2 linked regions of the Elephas maximus indicus genome follow. The protein of the gene in region 2 purifies or fractionates together with the protein of the main gene of each other region. This does not show direct contact. Links are inferred from orthologs where the notes say so. Each region holds a gene or a part of one and is shown on either strand. Other genes may lie near its edges.

Region 1 (7,479 bases), on a different chromosome or scaffold from region 2:
AATGGTGATGCTTCCCAGTTACACAAAATTACAGTCAAACTCAGTTGGCCTTCAGAGTCCTACACAGCTTGCCACTTAAGTAGTACTTTTCCAGGATTAGATTCTGCAGCTCAAGCTGTCACTTGCTCCTATTATCTGCCTATCAAAATCACACCCACTCTTAAAGGCCCAACTCAAATCCCACTCTTCCATCTTTATATCCTCCACACAATTATTAGGAAAGGGCTCTGCACAGAACAGGCACAATGCCTAATGACCTGACTCAGGAAATGACAAAAACTGCTAAAGAATACCCAAAAATCCTTCTGGAACATTAGGTTTTTTAAAAGATCACTATTCAAATATTAACATTTCAACCAAGAAACCCTCCACAAACCCAACAGTTAATCAACATTTATTATATGCTAATAATATGCTGTGTAGAAAATCAAATTCTCACTAGTGTATTTTATCAACCTGAAGGTAAAAAGCTAAGACCCAGGATTCAAATTCTATTTATATTTGAGTTTTACTTAGGAAAGGAAAGTCACAGTAAGAGGACTTAATATTTCACTTGAATGACAACTCGGAAGGTCAAACAAGACAACAGCAGCGATAGAAATAGTTAAATCGTATTCAAACTGATAAAAATTTTATCAGGTAGAAAAATAACTTTCAACAGAAATGTAAAGATTTTCCAGTCCACATTTTAGATGAGTGAATTTTAAAAAGAAGGGCCAAAGGATGTGGTCGGCAATTCTGAGCCTCTCATGAGACACATTCACTGGCACACTTACCAGCAGGTGTTAATGGCAGCGAAATGCAGACACAGACGTAATGCTGTGGGCAGACTCCAGTACTTTATAGGGCCCTATTTTTTTTTTTATTTCTTTTAGGCCTGACCTAATTTAATTTCTTTTTTGGCTCCTAACCCCATGAATTCATGTTAACTTTCGCAGTTATATACTGTGAAGCATTTTGCTCCTGCAGAGAATGAAGATATTCAAGATTCAATAAAGTCTCTTAAGAAATAATTTTAACTAGTCTTTCTACCTAGCTAAGTAACTTCATAAAACATGGCCCCTATGTCATTTCTAAAATTATAATCATTCAAATTTGAATACATTTCAGAAATAGACTTGCTGGTAACAGTAAAACATGCTAGAATTCTGAAATTATTAATAATACTATTTAAGGAAGCAGGGTGCAATGGAAAGAGCAGCAGCATTTGAAATTGGATCTCAGACTGAATCTGAAGTCTGACACCTTACTTGTATGACCTTCGTAACTGACTTTACCTAGAAATGCATTCTCACCTGAAAGAGGGATGCAAAAAAAAAACCCCAAACCCACTGTGTGATGTCGATTTCGACTCACAGTGACCCTGTAAGGCAGTGCAGAACTGCCCCATAGGGTTCCCAAGGCTGTAATTTTTACAGAAGCAGACTGCCAGATATTTCTCCAGTGGAGTGGCTGGAGGGTTTGGTGGGTTCGAACCACCAACCTTTCTGTTAGCAGCGAAGTGCTTAATCACCACACCACCGGCGCTCCTATGAAAGACGGATACTGCTGCCTTTTCCTCCCTCTCAAGGTGGCTGTTCAAATAAAATGAGATAAAGTAATTAGCACAATACCTGCCACAAAGTGTTCAATAAATACCAGTTTGCTTTCTTCATCAAACATAAACACAGACAAGAAGATTTAGGTGTAAGGAAGGCTACACTTCTACAAGTCTTCCTCAGCACAAAACACTACAGCTAGTTCGGGCTAATAAAAACAACACAGCCTCTCATTCCACAAACGTTTCTGAGGGATCTGGATCAAGATGAAGGAGACTGACTATACGTGGTTCTACGAGAACCCCGTTAAGGCTGCATATATTTATACTGACCGCTAAAATATTGACGAGAAAAGCCCAGTCATTTTGCTAAAACAGCTCGATGCATTCGTGCAGTTAAGAGAGCGCACTTGGGGTAATGAAAAAAAAAACGTCAAATTAGGCCCAACTCCAAAAGGTTCTTTAATAGATCAAGAGGGCGAGGCTGACTTGGCCTTCGTGAAACGCTAACAGTACGATATCAAAATCCATTTTAAAACTTAGGAACTGAAATATTCCATAACCCACACTGGTGTCACTAATGCTTTTTAGAAAGCCTGCGCAGGAGAGCACCATTAAGCACCACTGAAAATATTTCATGAAGGCCGTTCGTGGAAAACTGAAGCAAGAGAAGAAAAATCATAAATTATGTTGGTTTTCTGCACACAAGCCGAGGCGAACCGCTTTCAAGGCCACCGCCACCTCCACTGACAAGCATCGGAAGGAATTCCCGGTTTTAAAATCGAACGTCAAAAAGAAGGCTACGAGGCGAGCAAACTGGGGAGGGACGGAGGGAGGGGCGACGTTTTCGTCCCTTCCCTGGGGACCGGGCTTTAAAGCCGCTGCTGCGCCGGGTCCGGGGGGCCAGGGCTCCAGGCCTCCGCCCCCCGTCTCCTCTCGGCGAGCAAAGGCCGGCCAGATAAGCGCCGTGAGCAACGCCCAGGCCCCGCCCGGGCCCAGGCCCCGGCCGGCGCGCGACCAAGCCCGGGGTCGGGGTCGCCACGGCACGAGAGGCCGAGGGCGGGCGAGGCCGCCGCTGTGTCCGCGCCGGTGGGGCGGCCGGGCCCGCGGGAGGCGCGGACACTCACCACACCATGCCGTAGGCGCCCTCGCCGATGTACGAGAGGTTGGTGTAGCGCGGCCCCACGTCGAACACCTGCCCGCGGACCATCTCCGGGCCCGCGCCCGCCGCCGCCGCCGCCATGTTGGCTGCCGGGCCGCCGCCGCCGCCGCCGCCGCCTCCGCCGCGCTGGACTCGACGCTCCGCGGCTGCCGCTCGGCTCCCGCCGCGCCTCCCGGAGGGGCCGCCTGCAGCCGGTGCAGCTGCCGCCGCTGACCGTAAAGGACGATGGAGGCCGCCGCTCAGGCGAACTGGAGAGCCGACGGCCGCTCAGACCGACTGCCTGACTGACGGGCGGGCAGGCGAGCGGGCGGAGGGCGGGGCGCGCGCCGAGGAGGGCGCCGGGGAGAGGCCAAGCAGCGTGCGCGCGGATTGGCTCCCCGCGGCCAGGGGGCGGGGCGTGCGTGGCTGGCGAAAGCGACCGGCTAGGGCGGAGCACTGCGGCGGCTGTGGAGGCGCCGCCGGCGCGGTCACGTGTGGCTGTGGGGGAGTTGCGCGCCGGAGGCGGCCCTTGAGACGCCGAAGGAGAAGGAGGCGTCGGGAGAGGTCCTACAAAACAGAGCGTGAGGAGAGACGCTAAGGAGCAGAGACAGCCCTGCAGCGGGGGTTCCTGACAGAACCAGAGAACAACCCGGGACAGCGCATGAGGCCCGACGACGCGCCACACATCGCCGGGCTTGGGACAGGCCGCGAATCTGTAGCCCACACACAAATTTAGAGGCTTCGACGCAAGGACAGAAACTGAAAGGCCTGACCGAGATGGAAAGAGACATTTACATACTGAGAAAGTGTAAAACAAATGTGAGACCAAAACGACAGACTCTGAGAGGATCTGCGAGTCAGACAGAGGTTCCTTCAATAAATATTTGTTGAACACCTACCATGCTCCTGGGGATCCGGCACTGAAAAAAAAAAAGTATACCCTCATAGAGGTTATATTCTAGACTGAAGAGGCATGCAAATATATGTAATATGCACATTGGGATAAGTACTATGGAGAAATATAAAACAGAGTAAGGGCTTAGGGAGTAGTGGGGTTGAGACATCAGAGAAAGACACTGGGCCTCTAGAGACTGAGACCCGGATTGGTAGACGGACACCCAGAAATATACATCCAACGATGGAAATGCTAAAAACAAAACATGAAGACTTAGAGAAAATGAGACGGACACACTGAGGCTCAAAGATAGTCACAAACACCAGCGATTGGAAAATAAAAATTGGAATCCTGAAGCAGGTAGAAGCCAAGAATAGCTAAGACAGTGAGAAGATAATCCATTGCTTCTGAATCACTTCCCAAGCCAACATGCAATCCAAGAGCCACCAACTGTGGACTTCCACACATCAGCAAAGATCAACTGGTCAATCTCAAAATTTGAATAAACAATTTTTTTTAACTCTGTGAGAAAAGATTGTCGCAGGCAAGAAAAGGAATAAAGTGCTAAAGCCAAAAATTTCTGTTTTGAAATATATTTAGTCCATGAAACAGAACCCAATTTTAGGAAACACTTAGTTTTTTTTCTTCATTAGAAGGGGACATTCCATCTTTTGAAGAACAGGCCAAGATAAATGGAGAGTACCATGAAATCCAAACCACAATAACCAAAGTAAAAAAACACAGCCAAAGCAATGAGAAATAGACTTGACAGTGCACAAAATCAAATCAGCAAGATAGAAGATAAGCTCAAGAAAATTTTCAAAAATACAGAACACAGGAATCAAATTCTTTAAGAGGGAAAATAATGGAGGTGGAGAACATCATGGAGATTCAAACTATAGGCATCCCCCAAAAGAAGACCAAACAAATCAATTAAAGGCATTAATAAAAAAAAAAGGTAATATAAATTAATATAACTGAAAAGATCTGAGGCGGAAAGGAAGTGAGTTCACTGGGATTCAGAAAAACTAATAAGCAGAAACGAACTCTAAGACAATTTGGAAAAATTCTTAAATTTCAAGTGTAAAGAACAAACACAGCATCCAATCAAAAAACAAAGTTATAAAAAAGCTAAAAACTTTCTCTTCAGATTCCTCCTCTGCAATATTAACGCCAAAAAAAAAAAAAAAAAAGGAATAAGATTGATAGCACCCCCAAAGGGGTAAATTGTGACCCTACATACCCTCCCTGGATGATTTCTTTCACTCCTTTGCCTTAATTCCTCCCAGAATATCCCCGTTGCTCAAAATATCTGTTTTGAACTTCAGGTCATCCTGTCCACCTGCCCACTGGACAGTTTGATGTGACGCCTCACGTGGGAAAGGTGCTTCAGCTCCACATATCCAAAATGCCATTGGGTAACTGCACAAGTTGTGTACTCACACTGCCGGAGGGTTTGAATCTTGACTGCTCCACTTAGGATCTGTAGGACCTTGGCCTTAGTTTTCTCACTTAAGAGGTACCTGTACGTCACAAATTTGTTGTGCAGCATAAATAACGTATGTAAACAGCCTGGCACATGGTAAGTACCCAATAAAGGTTATCAGTCATTATTATCAACCCCACCCAAACCTGTTCCTCAGCTTGTGCCTGTGGACAAATAGCATCACCTTCCATCCAGACACTCAAGCTGGAAGTTTGGGCGTTATCTTCAACAACTCATTCTACCTTATTTCGAATACTCCCCCGCCCGCTCCCCGCCACGCCTCCATCCCACTGGTAACACACTCCCGTAAATTCTATTTCTTAAGGTTCCTTAAATCCTTGCTACTCAAAGTGTGGTCTCCAGACCAGCAACATCAGCATTATCTGGGAGCTTGTTAGAAATGCAGGATCCTAGGTCCCACCCCAGACCTACTGAATCAAGATCTGCATCTTAAGATCTCCCAGGTGATTTGTTCACATATTATTAAACTTTCTGAAGCACTGTTTTAAATGTAGCCGCCTCATCCCCACTGCCTCTATGTTGTTTAAAGCTTCATACTCTCTCTCTTCTGCTCTCTCACCTAGGCTATCGCAACCGCCTTTCAGTTCCTCTCCCAGCTTTCACGGTTGCCCATCTCCAATTGCTTCTCCTCACTTTATCTAGAAAGCTCTTTCTGTAAGAAATTTGACCAGTTACTCTCCTTCTTAGAGCAAGTCGATAGCTCCTCATTACACTCAGAGTGAGGCCTTTGCTGACCACCCTTCCAACCTAATCTCCTCTTACTCTCTGCTCTCTGCCCTCGATGCTCCTGTCAAGCTAGCTTAGTCTTAACTTCTCTCTTGCCTTTTGGTCTTTGCACATACAGATCTCTCTCCCTGTAGCATGCTCTCTCTGTACTCTTCCAGCATTTATGGACATGTTTTAAACTACCACACCATCATGGCATGATACAACTGTGATACACTAATTTTCTCCAGGTTCCATTGGCACTAAGCAACCCACAAGTGGCTTCACTTCTGCTTTTCTGACAGGGAGCATGTGCTGACCAGAGGACAGACAGCCCTGTTCAGGTCTGTGGCAGTTACTATTCATTCTAAGATGGAGTTTAGGTATACAGTTACTGAGTTATATTAGCATGACCCAGGCCCAGAGGGAACAGTGATCTAGCTACGGTGACAACAACAACAAATTTTTGAAGTGCAAAGGTGAGATCCAGGCTCTAGAACACTGTGAGACCATGCTAAGCCACCATCTAAGTATAAGGTCTAGCTTGGATGGATGGCTAGCCATCTGAATGTCTTCTTTATTATATCTCTAGAGTGGTGACAATTCACAGATCTGCAGAATCTTAAAAAACAATGGACATTTGTTATTTTTGCCTGCTCAGCATCAATTCCTCCTCCTGGCTGCAACAACCGAATTTTTCTTTGGTGAACTGACTCTTAGGCACTCTCATGTGGTTTGGAAGGCTAACACTACCCCTAAGTTCCAAGAGTAAGCGTGTGACTCATGACTCCCCAATCAGAGTCATAGACACTGGTTTAAAAGATGGGCGTGTGATCTGATCCTGGTCAATGACGCTCAACCCCAGACTTTTTGCAGAAACTAATAGGAAAGGGTCCCTTGGCTGCTAACTGAAATGCTGGAGGTTCCAATAACACCCAGTGGCACCTTAGAGGAAAGGCCTAGTGATCTACTTCCAAAAAATCAGCCATTGAAAACCTCATGAAGCATAGCTCTACTGTGATGCACAAGGGGTTGCCATGAGTTAGAATCGACTCAATAGCAACTGGTTTGGTTTTATTGGGAAACAGGTGCTCCCTTTCTGCTGGGTGCTAGGGGAGTGGTTATGAATATGGGGTCAAACATGCCATGATGTGAGAAACAACTTCTGAGAATGAAGAAGTGACAAGGAAAAGTCGAGTTGAGAGATGGAGATAAATTCCTGATGACAATTTGAGATGTTTCTTCCATTTGAAACCACAGAGTTCTGACTAATACACTATGCAGTTAAGTCCCTTTTCTGCAAAAATTGCTCAGAATTGTACAATAAGTCACTGAGACATGAATCATGAAAAGAGAGAAAGAACTGGCAATGACCCTTGAAACTATGTAAAGGTAGAGAAATAAGTAAATAAAAACACCTCTCAGCAGAGACTGAGGCTGATAAGTCCAAATAATTGTTGTTGCTATGGTAACAAACAATTTGAAAGACAGAAATTGTGAAAGGATTTTTTCTTTTTTTTAAATCGTAGGGCTTTTAACCCTAAATTATTGTCATGAAAACCAGGAAGGAAGAAAGAGGGTAGCAAAAGCAAGGTGCTCAGTCTTTGAAGACAAAAGTTATTTTTCAAAATAATATAATTTTTCAGTTAAAATTTTTAAAGCAGTCACTGTAGAATGTAAAACCAGAGATAAAA
Region 2 (7,066 bases):
CCTCCACACCAGGACTTTGTCCCTTCCCAGCCCAGGAAGCAGAGCTCACCTAGGATTCCTGCCCAGGGGCTTTGCCCAGCCCCACCGCCTCCCATTATTCCCAGAAGAAAAGGTAATCAACTCCTTAATATTTCCAGCATCGCAACCACATGAAGCAGGTTGCCATGGCAAATCCCCCTTCTCTTATCCTTGGTCCATCCTCAGTAGCCCCCCTTACCCCACAGTTAATGGTTACTGGTTGCCACAGGAACCACCCAGGTTTTCCCAGAGGACCTGAATGGGCAGGTTGCAGCAGTGTTTGAGTAACACCTAACCCTCTTTCCATCTTTTCTAGTCTCCCCCTGCTCATGGGGAAAGGGGCAGATGTCCCAGCACCAACGACAGCCCCAACTTGGAAGAGCAATGGACCTGGGCTTTGCCCGTAAAATGGCTTCCACCATAAGAACTACCCAAGTCTGACCCTACTCCATTAACCTCCAACTTTCCCCATCTCTGATCTCAGCAGCTTAAAAGCCCATTTATCTTTCATGACCCAGCTCAGATGTCACCTCTTTTGGGAAGCAACCCAGTCAAGACCCTGGGTCACTCTGTTTTTTTGGTTCTTGTCACACTGTTCATGCTTTACTTGCAGTGAGATAGCACACAAAGCGTGTCTCACCTGTCTCTTGTTGGATAAACTGTGAGCACTAGGGGCCTTATTCTTTTAGGCATCCCCAGCACAATGCCAGCCAGATGATGAAGATAATGATGCTCGCTAACACTCATTGGGTGAAGGCGCCATGCCCAGTGCTGCTCGAAGTGTTTCATGCGTTTATCTCATCTAATACTCTCAACAACCCAATGATGAAAATCCTAATATCGCTATTTTACAGGTGAGGAAACTGAGGTACAGAACAGTCAACTGTTTTACCTAAGTCACAGAGAGTAAATGGTGAAACTTAAATACAAACTGAAGCAGTCTGGCCCCAAGTCCATGCTCTTAATCAGTAAACCACTATGCCGTCCTGCCTCTGTAATTGGCATTAATCGTTTGTTGAATTGAATGGGATTTGCCCCCCAGCTGCTGAAACAACACAAGCCTGGACTCTAGCCCTTGCTGGGAGGGTAGGGAAGTTTGGTTTTGGCACTTGTAGGCCTGTTTTTTGCCTGACCACTTTACTCCTTCCAATCTACCGGGCCTCAGCAGCTATCCCTGGAAAGGGCCCTGAGATAGTGGAAGCTGAAATCCTGCCAGAAGGCCCATCCTTCCTCCAACCCCACTGTCTGTTTCTGCTATAACAAGTTCACTTGCCCCTTCTTCCCCAAAACGCCGAGTTGTCCAAGCTGTAAGGGCAGGGAGGCCCCAGATACCTCCAACCAATCCAGGAGAACAAAGCATAGATGTGGTGGCAGCTAAGACGAGCATTCTACCTCTAGTCCCAACTTGGGGGCTGATTGCTATGGCATCATCCAGGCTCTCCCCCCACTTTGACCTCACTTGCTTCTGGTTGTTCTTTTTGTTCAAGTGTTTCCTCCCATGAGGAGCCCTGGCAGAGGGCTGTGACAGCCACAACCAAGTGGCCAACTGGAGTATGGCTCTGGAGCAATCGCCTGTGAGTAGCTGCGGGGCACCTGCCCTTTGGATCCTAACCCAGCCACCTCCTGCCAGGCTAGGGAGGAGCAGTGTGTGTATACTGAGGCTGGCCAAGGAGGTGGGTGCGGGGTGACCAGGGAGGTGTCCAGTAAGGTGGGGGTGCAGTAGAAGCAGATGCCTCTTGCACTTCCTGCCATTCTCTCTACTTCCTGTGGCCCAGAATTTGCTGGGGGTGGGGGTAATTGTGCCAAGTCAGCAGTCCCCCTGTAGTCCATCCGTCCTTGAACCACATAACGGAAACTGGGGGCCTCAAGTCAGCAACTTCCCCTTTCTATGGGTTGTGGATGTCCTTACCCAGGACATCAGTCCTCCCTCCCCCTGATCATATCTCTCCAATTCTTGTGGACTTGATACTCAGAAACCTGAGTTCTCATACTCAATGGGTGGGGAGTGCTGGGGCTGAAAAACATTTTACAGAACAAGCTGACAGGTTAGGTAGCACCTGGCCTGCATTCCTGCTCCCGTCTGGGCTGAGGCATATTCAGCTCCAACCCTTCCTCTTTTGCTCCTGGTCCCCAGGGACTCTGGGATTCACACCTGCCTACTTGGGGGTGTTGGGTCACAACAGGAAGTGGATTTTGCTAGAGATCAAAAAAGAGAACTCGGGGTGTCAGTAAAGAGAAAGAGCCTCGATTGCACAGAAAACATCCGGGGAGTGGATGGCGTGCCCAGGGCAGACACTGCCCACCCCCACCCGAGGGCCAAGGGATAGGGCCCAGAATCAGGGAGGGTCGCCAAGCACTCCGCTCCCCCATGATGAAGCTGTTGCTCCTAGCAACCCAGGGAAGGCAGAAGTTTGGAAGCAGAGCCACCCGGCCCTTGGGACAGGTGGGGGCAGCACAACTGCCTGTGGGGTATTGGACACGAGCCTTTCTATTGGCTCTGCACGAGTCTGGGGCGCACCCCTCCCAACGTCCAGCCTTCCCAAATACTACCCCTCAGGGTTGGCCACCTGCTCCTCCTTCCTCCGCTCCTGCATCGCAGCCTGCACGAGAGAACCCAGGCGTCCGGCCCCCATATGCCTGCGAGAACCCGGACACCACTTCCCTGGTCCCCTTCAGTCCTGACTTCCTACAGGGGCCCGGGCATGCGCCCCCATTATCCTGGAGGACCTAGGCGTGCGGCCCCGGATGGCTGTCCCCTAGGGACCCAGGCGCCCGGCCCCACGGATTCTCTCCCCGGTGTCCTAGTCTGAGGACTATCTCGGCACCCGCCCCGAGCCGCCGCCCATGCCCCGCCGCGTGGCTCCACCTCCCTTACCTGGTCCCGGGTTTCTCCCCCATGGTGCGCACGCCCGCCGCCCGCAGCCCGCCCGGTTCGCGGCTCACTCCCAACCTCCTCGCTCGCTGCCAGGTCCCTGCTCCTCCCCGCGCCACTGCGCAGGCGCGCCCTCCGCTCTTTCTCCTCCTCCACCCTCTCCTTTGGCCCCCCCCCGGGAACCCGGACCAGATGCGTCAGCCTGGATCGCGCGCTCCGCGGCGCTGCCCGCCCTCTCCTCACAGACATGCGCGGTGATTGGGTCTGCCCCCGCCTCATCCTCTCCCCGGAGCTCTCCCCGGCGGGCACGGTCCCTGCCCCGCCCACCCCGCCCTTCCCGCCCATCTCCCCGCCCCTCCACATTCCCTTAGAAACTCATTGGGTTTCCCTAAACCAAGGTTCCCACCTTCCAGGAAATGAGAGCCCTCTGATTGGCTTCCGGCATCCCGACCCTGCAGGGGTCCCCTCCCCTTTGTTTGCTTTCTTAGCGGCGGTGGAGGCGAGGTGGGTGGTGCGGGCGGTGGAAAGCGCGGAAGCACGCTGTGGAAAGGGGCATGGGGGGGTGCACACGTGGGTGCGCGCTTACAATTGCGCGTTACTTACCTTACTGCGCGCTGCTTACCCGCTCTTCCCAGAACGTGCAGCCTTTTTTGCCCCGCCCTCCGGCTTGATGGTGGTGTCTCAGCTCCCCCTGGTGTCTGTCTTTGCTCTTTGCGGGCTTCCTTTTCCTCATTTCTCGGGTTACCCCTCTCTTTCCACCTCCCTATCCCAGCTTCCATTCACCCACCCACCCATCCATCATCCTACTTTGTGCCAGTCCCTGTCACTAGGCGGTGGGGACCCAGGCATGAATTAACATGGCCCTGCCTTCCTAGTGTTGTCGAAGAGACACATCAACAGGTATTATGATCCCGGGAATTCTATGCAAAGTAACAGCCTCTGGCCAGGACGGGGTGAAGGGACTGCAGGCTGTCCAGAGGAGGGGCGTTGGGAGACAATCTTGAGGATGGGCAGAAACTGGGAAAGGATATTCCAAAGAGATAGAAAGTGAGGAAGGCAAAGGGCAAAAAGCATATCCTATTGTAAAGTGTGGGGTTAAGTGGGTTTAGCGGCAGGAGAAATGAAGCTGGAGAGGAAGACTGAACAGGTTAGGAAGAATTTTGTATAGCAGGTGAAGGAAGGAGGTTCCTCAGGACACATGGAACCAGTAGCAGTTTTGAAAACAGGGATGATGAGATTTATTTTTTTAGGGAGATAATAGTGGGCAAAGTGGAGGGTGGAGGGAGTGGGGCAAGAATATGAGGAGGGAGAGGAGTTATCTATAGATAAGCTAGTAAAGGGGAGATGATGAACACTTGAACTAAAGAGCTAGCTGGGAGGAGAAAGAGGAGCCCGACTGAAGAGTCATGCTGGGGTAAAAGTGCCTGAACTTGGAGGAGGATGATGGATTTATGGACATTTCTGGGTTATGGAGGTAAGGTATTTCTCCTTTTTCACATACTATTGTTTTTAAATGCCGTCAAGTCGATTTTGGCACACAGCAATCTCATGTGACAGAGCAGAACTGCCCCATAGGGTTTTCTTGGCTGTAATCTTTACGGAAGCAGATTGCCAGGTCATTCTCTCACCAAGCCGCTGGGTGGGCTCGAACTGCCAACGTTTCGGTTAGTGGCGAGCGCTTAACCATTTGTGACACCAGGGCTCCTTTCCTATACCACCTCCCGCCCAATGAACTAACTTTACACCTCTCCCTCCTCTTTTCCATGTAAGAAACGGTAACACACACAACAGTGCAGCTTCTGATAACGTCTTTGAGGTTCAAAACAGGCTGTGTCCATCGAGTGCTCCCACTCAGTTCCATCACCCCTCAGTTCTAAGCTTGCTCTTCACCCCTTTCAAGCTTTAGATCATGCATATCTTTCAGACTCATGAATCACTTAAAAAAATTTATTGTGTTTTAGGTGAAATTTCACAGTGCAAATTAGTTTTTCATTCAAAAATTTATACACAAATTGTTTTGTGATGTTGTTCACAATCCCTGCGATGTGTCAGCACTCTCCCTCTTTCCCTTTCCACCCTGGGTTTTCCGTGTCCATTTGTCAGGTTTCCTGTCCCTTCCTGCCTTCTCACCTTTGTTTTCGGGTACTTGTTGCCCATTTGGTCTCATATACTTGATTGAACTAAGAGGCACGTTCCTCACGTGTGCTGTTGTTTGTTTTATAGGCCTGTCTAATCTTTCGCTGAAGGGTAAACTTCAGGAGTGGCTTCATTTCTGAGTTAGCAGGGTGTCTGGGGGCCATAGTCTCTGGAATCATGAATCACTTTTATCCAAATTTGACCCTGATCAAAGGGTCATGACTGGAACTTAATGCTATATATCTGAAGTGTTATTGGGACAGAAGGGTAATGTGGTCTGCATGACATAAAAACTACTGTATTAAATATTAAACTAATATAAAGCCCCACCACTCATCTGTCAGTTCGTTGTATTGTGATGGTTTGAGTATTGCTATGATGCTGGAAGCTATGCCACTGGTATTTCAAATACCAGCAGGATCACCCATGGTGGATAGGTTTCGGTGGAGCTTCTACACTAAGACTAGGAAGAAAGGCCTGGCAATCTATTTCTGAAAATGAGCCCAGAAAACCCTATGTATCACAATAGACTATTGTCCAATATAGTGCTAAAAGATGAGCCCTCTAGGTTGGAAGGCACTCAAAATACAGTGGCCATATGAGTCCCTGGGTAGCATAAAAGGTTAAGTGTTCAGCTATTAACCGAAATGTTGGCAGTTTGAATCCACCTAGAGGTGCCTCAGAAGAAAGGCCTGGCAACCTGCTTCTGAAATACAGTGGCCACAACAATGGACTCAAACATACCAATAATCGTAAAGATGGCACAGGGCTAGGCAGTGTTTCCTTCTGTTGTACATGGTGTTGCCATACGTTGGAGCTGACTGGATGGCAACTAACAACAACAACAATAAAGACAACTTTAGAAAGGTATTAAAGAAAGTCAGGAGGTGGAGCCAAAATGGAGGTGCAGTCACTCACCATAACATCCCCCTGCACCAAAGACCTAAAACAAACAAGTGAAACAGGAGCAGATAACAATCCAGGAACCCTGAACATCAAAAAAGGTCTAAGAACTGAACTGAACACCAATTAGAAGGAATAAGAAAAGCAGCAAAAGAGGAGTAACACGGCACGGAGGAGCTCAGCCAGCCATCCTGACTCACCCTGGCTAACTTAGGACAAGACCAGCAGTGACCCTGGGTGAAGAAACAGCAAGGCAACTTCACAACTTTCCCAAGAGGGACAGAGAACCTCTATAGACACACACAGAAAGAAGCAGAGAGAGGTAGAGTGCCAGATCCGGAACTGGGATACTCAGGTGTGGCAGCTCTTGACTTCAGGGGTGAGTGGTGCACACAAGGCAGTGGACCCATGGAGTGTCCACGGGAGCTCTCCCACCCAACTGGTCCCTGGGCGGCCCTCTTCCTCAAACTTGAGAGGCGACAGGTCCCACTCGCTGGCCGCAGCAGACACATGGTGCCCTGGCACCCGTGTATCCTAGCTGGAGGAACGCACTCCCCCTCAACTCATCCTCCTGATCAGAGGTGGCAGAGGGTCCCAAACACCAACTACCTTGCCCGACTGGAGAAGCACAATACAAGCCTACTCTCTTTCCCCCATCCTATCTAACCCCACCCACTATACCCCATTGCCTACCCAATGAGCAAGACTAGGTGCACCCCCGCAGGTGTGCCTGCCTGCCACCTACTCGCCCCACCAAGGGCCCAGTGGAGGGCAGCGGGACTGTGAGAGAGCTCACCCATTTCTCCCTCTTTCTTCCCCCAATCTGCATAAGGCAGCACTTCTGTGCATGCATCCTCTAGGTGCGACTCCATCCCTTAACCTGCCCAGTGGTTTGTGCGTCTCGTCCCGTCCTGTCCTGCTCCCCCAGCCTCTCCCTCCCTCCCCCTACCTGACTCAAGGTGGCATCACCCTGTTCACGTTTGCCAGGTGTGACTCTCTCCCTTAACGCACGCAGCAAGGGGCAGGGGAGCCGTGACTGTGCACGCATCTCCCTGCAGCCCCTTCCTCCCTCCCCTTGCCTGTGTGTGGCAGCACCTTCATGTGCCATTCACCAGACATGACTCCATCCCTTAACCT

Evidence for each region.
Region 1: the proteins of ARRB2 (region 2) and MAPK1 purify together in Homo sapiens (affinity purification with western blotting; 3 studies listed by BioGRID and IntAct, with this or other methods). This does not show direct contact. The link is inferred for Elephas maximus indicus from reciprocal best matches to the Homo sapiens genes ARRB2 and MAPK1.

Annotation. Positions count from the first base shown.
Region 1 is NC_064840.1:20,788,749-20,796,227, reverse strand, and holds the start of MAPK1 (mitogen-activated protein kinase 1), read right to left. Parts: upstream 3,014-7,479; 5' UTR 2,781-3,013; coding exon 2,665-2,780; intron 1-2,664. UniProt on the Homo sapiens protein: Serine/threonine kinase which acts as an essential component of the MAP kinase signal transduction pathway. MAPK1/ERK2 and MAPK3/ERK1 are the 2 MAPKs which play an important role in the MAPK/ERK cascade.
Region 2 is NC_064837.1:14,365,874-14,372,939, reverse strand, and holds the start of ARRB2 (beta-arrestin-2), read right to left. Parts: upstream 3,012-7,066; 5' UTR 2,917-3,011; coding exon 2,894-2,916; intron 1-2,893. UniProt on the Homo sapiens protein: Functions in regulating agonist-mediated G-protein coupled receptor (GPCR) signaling by mediating both receptor desensitization and resensitization processes.